2 linked regions of the Drosophila melanogaster genome follow. Changing the gene in region 1 together with any one later gene gives a genetic interaction. Each region holds a gene or a part of one and is shown in the gene's direction. Other genes may lie near its edges.

Evidence for each region.
Region 2: of path (region 1) and pum, changing one suppresses a phenotype caused by changing the other (phenotypic suppression), as found in Drosophila melanogaster (one study listed by BioGRID).

What each region holds. Positions count from the first base shown.
Region 1 is NT_037436.4:9,502,297-9,507,266, reverse strand, and holds the start of path (pathetic), read left to right. Parts: upstream 1-1,938; 5' UTR 1,939-2,135; intron 2,136-4,970. UniProt on the Drosophila melanogaster protein: Amino acid transporter which has pH-dependent electrogenic transport activity for alanine and glycine but not for proline. Plays a role in positive regulation of growth by directly or indirectly modulating the effects of the TOR signaling pathway.
Region 2 is NT_033777.3:9,233,838-9,238,923, reverse strand, and holds the start of pum (pumilio), read left to right. Parts: upstream 1-1,898; 5' UTR 1,899-2,114; intron 2,115-4,259; 5' UTR 4,260-5,062; coding exon 5,063-5,086. Other genes in the region: D1 chromosomal protein, read left to right, coding at 1-405. UniProt on the Drosophila melanogaster protein: Sequence-specific RNA-binding protein that acts as a post-transcriptional repressor by binding the 3'-UTR of mRNA targets.

The sequences.
Region 1 (4,970 bases):
AACTCAGATGAATCTACAGCTAACCTAACCATAGCTCAAGCTCAACTCCATAGTAACTGAATGGCAGTTCCAAACTAGCCAAAGCATAGAAACTACAGACACAGTCAGACCAGACATCCTCGTATTATTCACATCTATCAGGTCAAATCAGATATAATCGAATCGATTCGAATCAACTCACCTACAAATAAAGTACTATAACCGTGTGCAATTCCCATCTTATTTCTAATTCTTGCTCAAATTGTATTCATGTTAGCCCGACCATTTTACATTTGTAGATTTTAAATCGCATAGGTTTTATTGCAAAGGAAATGTATACCATCATGAGTGGAATTTGCAGATAATCAAAATGAAATTCAAGCGGTTTCATATGATTTATGCGAAATCGAAATAATTGAAGCGTAACAAAATATTTGCAAGATTCTTTGAATAAAAACGTACATTTTAACAAATTTGTTGAAGTTTTCTTATTCTTATTTAATACTTGAACTAATTTTATTCTGTGACTTAACAGTTTGCGCCCAAAATCTAACAATTCAAATTAATTTTATGTCCCAGGAAATTGTTAATAAAAATAATTTCAATTGAGATTGTGGGAAATTTATGCTTATCTATTCACTTGGTCACCATGCTATCTATAATAATATTTATAGCCCCATTCGGCACGCGAGTTTATGTTAAATATAAGTATTAAACGCCCCGCTATCTATTTATATTTATTATTTTCCTTTTTTGGATTTGTGACCATTTATTCTGATTATAATAAATTATTATTCTTTCAAGAAAAATGAATGTTTGTTGATAATAAAGATTATTTAAAAGTAGTGGCAATGATTTTAAGTAATACTATATTGAAGTTCAATTCCTAGCATCATACTAACTAACATATCTTTCATCATGCAAACATCAGCAACACAATATAAGATCTTAATCCTACCAACCCATCCTGACATCATTTGTATCTTCTTTATTTGGCTCTCCTCAACGTAATTGGTTCATTCGCATATCGCAAATAAATTGATAAGTGATAAATGACTAGCAAAAACATACCGGTTCCGTGTTAAAGTGAATTTCATCAGTAGAAAGTTGTAGAACTTTGGACGTATTTACCTGCTGTTGAGCGGGTGGAAATTATTATTGAACAACGTGAGAGAGAGCAAAAAGTTGGATAAATACGTAAATATTGTGGTTATCTTGTTCGATTCCCAGAACTTAAACAACACCGAAACCTAATTGCTGATGCAATGCTGTTTATCAATTTCGTGCAAGGATCTTACCGCTTCTACCCGCAGCTCCAACTTTAAAGTTTCGCATTTCCGGCAAGTCTAAAAAGTATATAGAGTTTGCCACGCTTATGAAAGCCGGTCTTAGATTTCGTCATCCAAAAAGTGGAGAAGGCCCTTGCCCTTTAGGATTTGCGGAATATACATATCTCGCTTGCTCTTCTCAAATTCAGCGCATCGTGTCGCTGTCCTTGTCGTCCTTTCAGCCGTATTTATTTTTTTCTCTTACCCGGCTTTTCTCTTTCTCTGCATTTACAAGCTGTTTGTTTTAGCGGGAAAAAAGCCAGATCGGATTTTAAAATTTCATAAATCAAGCTGTAAAATCAGATACGTACTTGCCTTACCTAATTTTTTTGTGTTTACTAAGAATAATTCATTAAGAAGTAAAAATATTCTAATAATCGTAGCCATTTTGACAAAAATTCCTTAAGTGGCATTTTGTTGTCTTTTTACTTAAGGTAGTTAAAAAAATATTTATAAATATTTATAATAAAAATCATAATTTTCCTAAAGGCATAATCTATACCTATAATTTATTACGTATTCTAAAATATAATATTTTTACATCTTGCCTTATAAAATAAAGTAAAATAAATGTCGGCAGCACTGTTGCGCTCTCTCAGTATTTATATTTAAGCAGGGACTGTGTTTCTCATTTTAGTTGCTGTTTGGTGTTCGCGCAGTCCGCACGGCTTTTTGTGTCGCGGGAGATATCTCCGATTTTTTAACTGCCCAAACTGTTGGCATTATTACAACTTTTATTCGCCTAAAAGGCGATTGACCGGGAGGAGTGTTTGATTTGCGCGGCATTCACCAATTCGTCAGCACTTCAGAGAAAGAAGGAGCAATTAAGTAAGCATAAATTCTGAACTACTGTACAGTCGCCGGATTTAAGACAAGGGAAGCGAAAAGAGGGCAACACTTGAAGCACATGGCAGAAACACAGAATAAATTGGGTTTGTCTGAAAATAGCATAGTGCAACTGCTGCTATAACAGACATGTGTTATGTATTCAAAAAAACATTCGAAATAGAAGTATAGAATTATAGAATGATGTGCCATGTTGTAGATGAGAACCACGAAAGCAGACGAAAAACAAAAAGCAGGAGAAAAAAACGGCTTTAGCGAACCATAAATAGCCGAAGTGACAATTAAAACCGAAACCTTTTCATAAAAACCGAAAAATTCGACAGTCAAAAAAAAAAAAACGGGACACGCGTGCATTTTCGACGTCAACGTAAAACGAACACGTTGCACCTGTCCCGTTATTTGCATTACGGCTTTCTACATTTTTTTGGCTGATATGTGGATATTTGTGGATATATTTGGATGATTTGTTTTCGGGCATTTTATAAAGAATACGTTTTTCCTGAGTCATGAATGGAATATAAACATTTCCTCGGTTGCCCGCGCTTTCCATTGCAGTTTGATGTTAGTGCTTTTATACATGTGCTATAGTTCAATGGCTGCGAATAGGTTTCTCCCCAATTTGACTTGCTGATGCTCCACGTTTCTTGCTAAATTTCAATACGTAATTTACCTGTAATTGAGCACTTAGCCAAGGGAAAGTTCGCCCGATGCCAGCGAAACAAATATAATAAAAAACAAAACGAAATTAACTGTTAGCAGAGCACGCATAAAAGAAAAAATAAAATGGATTACTATCATAGCTGTCTGCACACACACGTCAATGCAACTGCCCCACCCACACTGAACTGCTGCACCCACGCCCACACACTTTTAGACCGATTCGAACTGAGTCATCAAGGACATGGCCGAAAGGAGCTCGGGCCAAAATGGGATGGGTGCACTGAGAGAAATGTGCATCCAAAATCTACCTTGTGCTTGAAATCGCTCTGTTGCTTTTAAATCTATTGATGAAGTAAACTAACTTCTATACACTTTGAATTCGTTAATCTTAGATCTATCTATCTATCTTTGGCATTGAACGTTTAATACTATTTATGACAATTATTATTTCGCACTGTATGTGTATCTCATCACTTTTGCCGACTGAGGTGCGCCTGTTTTTGGCCATATCTTTACGATGTAACCATTTCCTCGCTTTACGCGCTCGTTTTCTGTTTGTGTTATTGATTTTGTTGCTATTGTCGCTGTTGGTAATTAGCATAACAGAAATTTACAAGCTAAAGTCAAAGACGCAGTAAAACTGTGACGTCAGAGGCTGGGAGTCCAAGGGAGAGGCAAGTGTCAAACAAAGTGAAAAAGAGAAAGGTGCTAGGCAGAAAGAGAGGGGCGCACGTGGGTGCAACATGTTGATTGCGTGGGCGGCCTTCGGGCCATTTGGCATATTCCAAGAATAAATCTGATTTACATATCTTACGATTTTGGGATTATGAATATTAAGTACGGATTTTAAGCCAACGATTTTAAAGTGGAATTGAAATTGTATCATAGAAACGGGCATTCAGATATAGTAGGTTTATACCTTATATATTTATTCAAAATATATATATATATTATATATTATATTATTATTCAAAAACCTATCTTTATTTCTTTTTACTGTTCTGGCTGTCAATCGGCTTCGCTAATTTGCACACATGTGCCACTTGCGCAATTTTCCACCAGAAGCAGACATTACACTTGACCGCCTTCCTTCCCTTCATTTGCCACAACTGACCCGACAGAAACTAATTATTTTTAGACGCAACTAATTTCCGTAACACCTGAGTTCGTTTCTGTTATCATGTTGCCATTTTTGCCTTCTTAAATCGATTGGACCATTGAACGGCAGCTCAATAAACACTGTTCCACATAAAGTGTCGAAGAAAACAATTACCAAAAATACAGTCCAATAAAACGAAGTTCATATTCGTATCGTCGCACATTATCTAAAACGATAATGTGACCTTTGTGGCGGCTTGCTTGGGTTTTTTTTTATCAGGATTGACATTATGCAACAACCGCATGCAAACTCTCCAATTGCGGGTAATTATTTTAAACACCTTGAACAACAGGGAAAATTGCATTTATCTCTGTAGATAGGACAAAACAACAGATAGTTACTACCATTTCATTTTTTTTTTTTTTTTTTTTTTTTGACGCGTGTCTCAATTTTGATAAGGAGACTTTTTAGAAACCTATTGGGAGCTGTATTTAATCAGCAGTTTCCCCCGTTCATATGCACATGGAGGCTATAACCTTTTTCTAATGACGTAAATGTCAAACAGATCTGAAATCTTTGACGTTCGAAAACAGCTGCTTAAATATTTTTAGAGATTTCAAAATTGATGAAGAGAATTTACCAAACAAAAATTACATAAAAAGAATTGTTGAGTTTTTGAAACAATTTCGAAATATGTCACTCCACTTCACTTACATTTCCGGTAGTTATATCAGCTTTTTCGCTTTTTCCATGAATCATGTTCCACTATCAACAAAAATTCTTTAAAAACCGCAGAATGTGAGACAATTGCTGAACTCGCAACATGATTCCCCCAAAGTGAACACCTATGTATAAGAAGGGGAAACCAAACACCGTTTCGATGATAACTCACTAGATAAGGAGTGTCAACATAACGATTCCAAAACAAACAAAAAGCAAATGCAATCCATTCGCACAAAACAGAAACGTTCGGCTGATGAAATGCTAAAAAAGCTTTGCAGCATGAAGCGCTGGGATAAATATAAACCGATTCTTCTAAGAATAAAAGTATTGTATGA
Region 2 (5,086 bases), on another chromosome or scaffold:
GGTCGTCCAAAGGCCAATGCTGCACCCGTCGAGAAGCACGAGGACAATGACGACGATCAGGACGATGAGAACTCCGGGGAGGAGGAACACAGCTCGCCTGAGAAGACGGTAGTGGCGCCGAAGAAACGTGGACGTCCCTCTCTTGCCGCTGGCAAGGTGTCCAAAGAGGAAACAACAAAGCCCCGTAGTCGCCCAGCGAAAAATATTGATGACGATGCAGATGATGCTGATTCCGCCGATCAGGGCCAACACAACTCCAAGAAGGAGTCGAACGACGAGGACCGTGCCGTGGATGGGACACCAACCAAAGGAGATGGCCTCAAATGGAACTCCGATGGCGAAAATGATGCCAACGACGGTTATGTTTCGGATAACTACAACGATTCCGAATCGGTAGCTGCCTAAAACATACAATTTATAAACATTTCCACACACCCCTCCCCAAAAATCAACACAAAAAAAAAAGAATGTTGTAAAAGCAAAAAAAAAAAAACGAAAAAAAATCTGCAAGTAAGAGAAGAAAACACAAAAATGGATAGGACCTACTTGGACTTTAGAGAACCTTCCCCTCCTAAAACAACACACTTTGTCTACATATATATTCCGATTTATTGCTGAGAAATCGGACAAACCGTTTACAACTGCACTGCACTGTAATGACGACACATAGCTCGGAAAACGATTTCAACTTGGATTGAAATTACCAAATAAATAACACATAAATAACATATTTGGGGAAGATTTCAAGTTCCGAAGTAGAACTGAACTTTATTGTAACAACAAATTTGATTTGATTGCAGAAATTTCAATCGTATACAAGTTTAAATAAACCTACTATACCTAAAAAAATTTTGTGTAATTTAGTTTTTATATATATCATTTAACATATATTATCTATTGATATAAACCAGATGGAAAAATATGTAAATCCATGGTTGTATTGATTCTTTATATACAGTGTTCACTGTACTTTACATTATATGGTCACTCTGAAGAAAGTGAAGTTATAAACGGTAATTGTTGTAATGCTATTTTAACAACATTAAAACTAGGGCAACTAGTTAAATGCATTATAGAACATAAAAATCAATTAATTTCTCTAATGGGATAGTAAATGAAATTATAACTTACATATAGTAGTATGCTAAATTTTTGGTATCTTAGAACTATTGGAGAGTGTTTCTCAGTGCGCTTCGCAATGGTATATTTGAACGGTCGAGCTGCGGTCACACTAAATGTTCGCGCGTAAGAAGAAGCAGACCTAGAACGGCGTGCTTGTAATATGTAAATTTTTCAAATAAGCTAAGGTGTGAGTACCCAACAGCTATAAAATATGAAAAGTATTTTAAAACTGCCAGCCTTATGCTGATAGTTCGACAGCATTGTTTACATTTCCAATCGGCGGTAAATCACAATCAAATTTGCGGCTGCGAAAAAAGATCACAAATTGATAAAAAAAAAAGCCGCAAACAAAAACAAAACAAACACCCTGGTGCGTGTGTATGTATGCGCGAGTGTTGGTCTGTGAATGTGTGTGCTCAAGTGTGTGTTTGTGTGCGACTGGCGTCTGATCAAATTTGGCATGCCCCTAAAATCGATTGATAAATAATATATAAACAATTTGGCTGGGGCAGCGTAATTCATTTGCCAGGGTGAATATAAAAAAGGGGGTGATGATAAAAGAACAAGAAAATGTGTAATCAATTTATATAAATATTTTGCGCGCATGTTAATAAAAGTAAAATAAATTGTCGGTCTTTTGCGCTCGCACCCCCGCTCTTGCTCTCTCTCGCACTCTGTGGGCATGCTCACTCGTTCTCTCTGTTGATTTCGCACGTTTGCCAACACTGCTCTCATTTTGGGGGGTTCTTGTTCTCTCCTCTCTCTCTAGCTCTTTGTTGTAGTTGTATTTGGCCAGTGTGTCTTTGCATTTCGCTTTTATTATCGTTCTGCGACGGACGGCGGCGACGTTGAAGAAATTCCTGGCCGATTTCTTCTTCATCATCCTGTGTAAATAATTGTAATTTAAATAATCTAAATTTCGTATTTAACGAAAGCACACACACCATCAAATCAATGGAAATGCAAACGAGAAGGCTTTTTTAAGTGCATGTGTAAGTGTTTCAAAAAAGGAAATGAACAAAAAAAAACAGCTAAAAACCGTAAAGTACTCCTGTTTCGTTTTACATTGTCATCATCGGGTTTCCTTTTCCATTTCGGCGGCATGAGTGTATGTGTGCATTTCCAGACCGCTTTTTGTACATATGCAAACATGTATAAATAGTTTGCGAAATTAATTCGTATTTTGCCCGAAAAAGGTAAAAATCAATTAAGTGTGTGCCTGAATAATTTATATGATTCCTTTCTTTTTGTTTGGTTGGTGAACAAATTTTTCCGATTGTGCGTATGTGTGCGAATGTGTGTGTTTCATTATTTCCTTATACCATCGTGTTCTTCCTTTTGAGCGGTGGCCATTTGGCTGCTCTGCTTCTTCCTTCTCCCCGCGTCCCCCCGCCAAACCATTCAGCTCCCTCTTACGTGTGTGTGTGTGCTCTCTCGCTCTTTCTCTCTCTCGGGACGCCTTGCAATTGTATATATGTGCTTTTCCCAATAAGAACGCCTAACTACCAACTAAAATATTAAACAATTCAAATGGTTTTAATTCCTAATTACTTATTGGCCGCACCTCCTTTGTTTTGTCCGCCATCTCTTTTATGGTTTATCTTTATGTTTGTTTTTATATATACCCCCCTCCCCTAGAAGTGTGGGTGTGTGCGAGCTTCCAGGGGCACAGCATTCGCGTTCTCTCTCTTCCTTTTCGCATGCTGCACTTGTCTCTCCTTTTTTGGGGGGCTTCTTGGGAGGCACGAAAGGACCGAAAGGGAGAAATGGAGATATAATTCTCGTAAACAACCCAAAAACAAAAAAAAAAATAATAAAATAAAAGACCGACCCACTCGCATTCTTTTCGCTGAAAACGTAACCTCAAATGTTTGCGGCCGCCTTTCGCCTTCGTCTTCGTTTCGTTTTCTTCGCCATTCGTTCTGTCGCATTCGCTCATCGTCTGCCGGCATCGTTCTTGTTGTTGTTCTTGCTCCTCTGTGTGTATGTTAATTTTATATGTTTTCCATTTTCGACCGCCCCACCACCCCCCGCTATACGTCTTTCCGTGTGCTTTCCGCGGGAGGCGCTATAACAATAATTCTGTTCACAAGTTTTCCAGATATGTATAAATTCTTAGATGTTAAACAAGCCGCTATACGTCTTTCCGTGTGCTTTCCGCGGGAGGCGCTATAACAATAATTCTGTTCACAAGTTTTCCAGATATGTATAAATTCTTAGATGTTAAACAAGCCGATCTACAATGTAACCAGATTTTAAAAAGGGATTTTGTTTCTGTTTTCATTGGATTCCATATTTTGTACAATGGATATTATTATAATCCCAAACTATTATAGAATTTCATGTTAAAAGAGTAAAACAGGATTTGAATAATCAGATCTAAAGATCATTTTCATAATGTTGAAATGCAATGGTCCTAATGGTGATTTATAAAATTTCGTTAAAACCTTTTTGGAACTGCAACATAAACGCCATTGTTATCGTGTGCCAACTTTTTGTTACGGTTGCTAAGCACTTACGAATAGATAAAGTCTGAAAAGTTATGTATTGATAGTCACTGATAAAACTAGCCTGCATCGTAATTTATTAAGAGTATTAATCCAATCGGTCTTCAAAGAAACCAAATTATATTTTCCGTATTTTTCGAGCATGATTCAGCGCTGCGTTGTTCTTCTATGGATAGTCTGCTTCTGCGACTTGTTCTTGGGGCTCCTGTTCCTCAAACGTAAACGCAACGCACACACTCCCCCCCCCCCCCCGCAATTCACCACTTATCGGCATCTACTTTGTTATTGTTTTCGTAATGGGGAAATCATGGCTAATATTTGCCTTAGTCGTCTTTCAGTTTTAGAAGAAATTGTTTTGCTTTTACGCGTGCCTTGTGCGTTTTATTTTGTTGATTATTATTATGTGCCCTGTCTGCTGTCTGTGTTATCGGAATCTTTTCTTTACCATGACCAGCTCAAAGTTTTTAATCGCACAAAAGTACAGTGGTTCGAGTGTCGTATTGAATTGGGAATAAAAACTAGCATCATATAAAAAGTTATTTGATTCGAAATCGATAATTTCTCAACAATTTATTTCCAAAAACTACTGCGTTTACTAATCACAGTTTACACTTTAATTTCTCATTGCAGTTTGTGTATATTTTCATCATTAAAACGTCGTGTAAATTAAAATTCATCCTAATTATAATTAATAAACTACATTAATAAACGGAAATTCCACAATTCTCAACAAGAAATCTGTAAAAATTCAAGTTTTAACCAATTCTCATACGTAATTAAATAAATAAAGTTCAGTTTTGTTAAGTCCCAAAAACAACAGCTGTGCAACTGTGTAAAATATTATTCATAATTTTGTGTAAATTTATGTAAAAAAAAAAAAAAAAACAAACCAACCACGACAACCAAACCAAACGAAGCAAATTCAATTTTTTTGATCAAAAAGTGTGTGAAAAATCTCAGCAAAGCCTGTAAAATAAATATTAAATATATTAAGCAAAAAGTGTGGTTTCTTTTACAACAAAATAAATAAAAGCAAAAAACAAGTGTAAATCTGAAGCGAAAATTAAAAAAAAATTATATGTAACATTTGTGAATATTTCCGAGCGAATAGTGTTGCAAAACGCGCGTGTGGTTCTTTGTGCTGCAAGTTAAAATACAATTCAAGTTGGCAATACGCGCAAAATTGTCAGCTGCGATAGCTAGGAAAAGCCTCCAAAATTGAGCTCCTAACCGCGCCCACAATTGCCATATCGACGCCCTCGCCGCAGCAGCAACACCAACAGCAGCAGCAGCAGCAGCAGCAGCAACTCTATCAGCAACATCAACAGCAGCAGCAGCAACATTACGGTCCACCACCGCCCTACTTTCAACAGCTACACCAGCAACACCAACAGCAGCAGCAACAACAGCAGCAGCAGCAACACCAGCAACACATGAAGTTTTTGGGTGGTAACGAT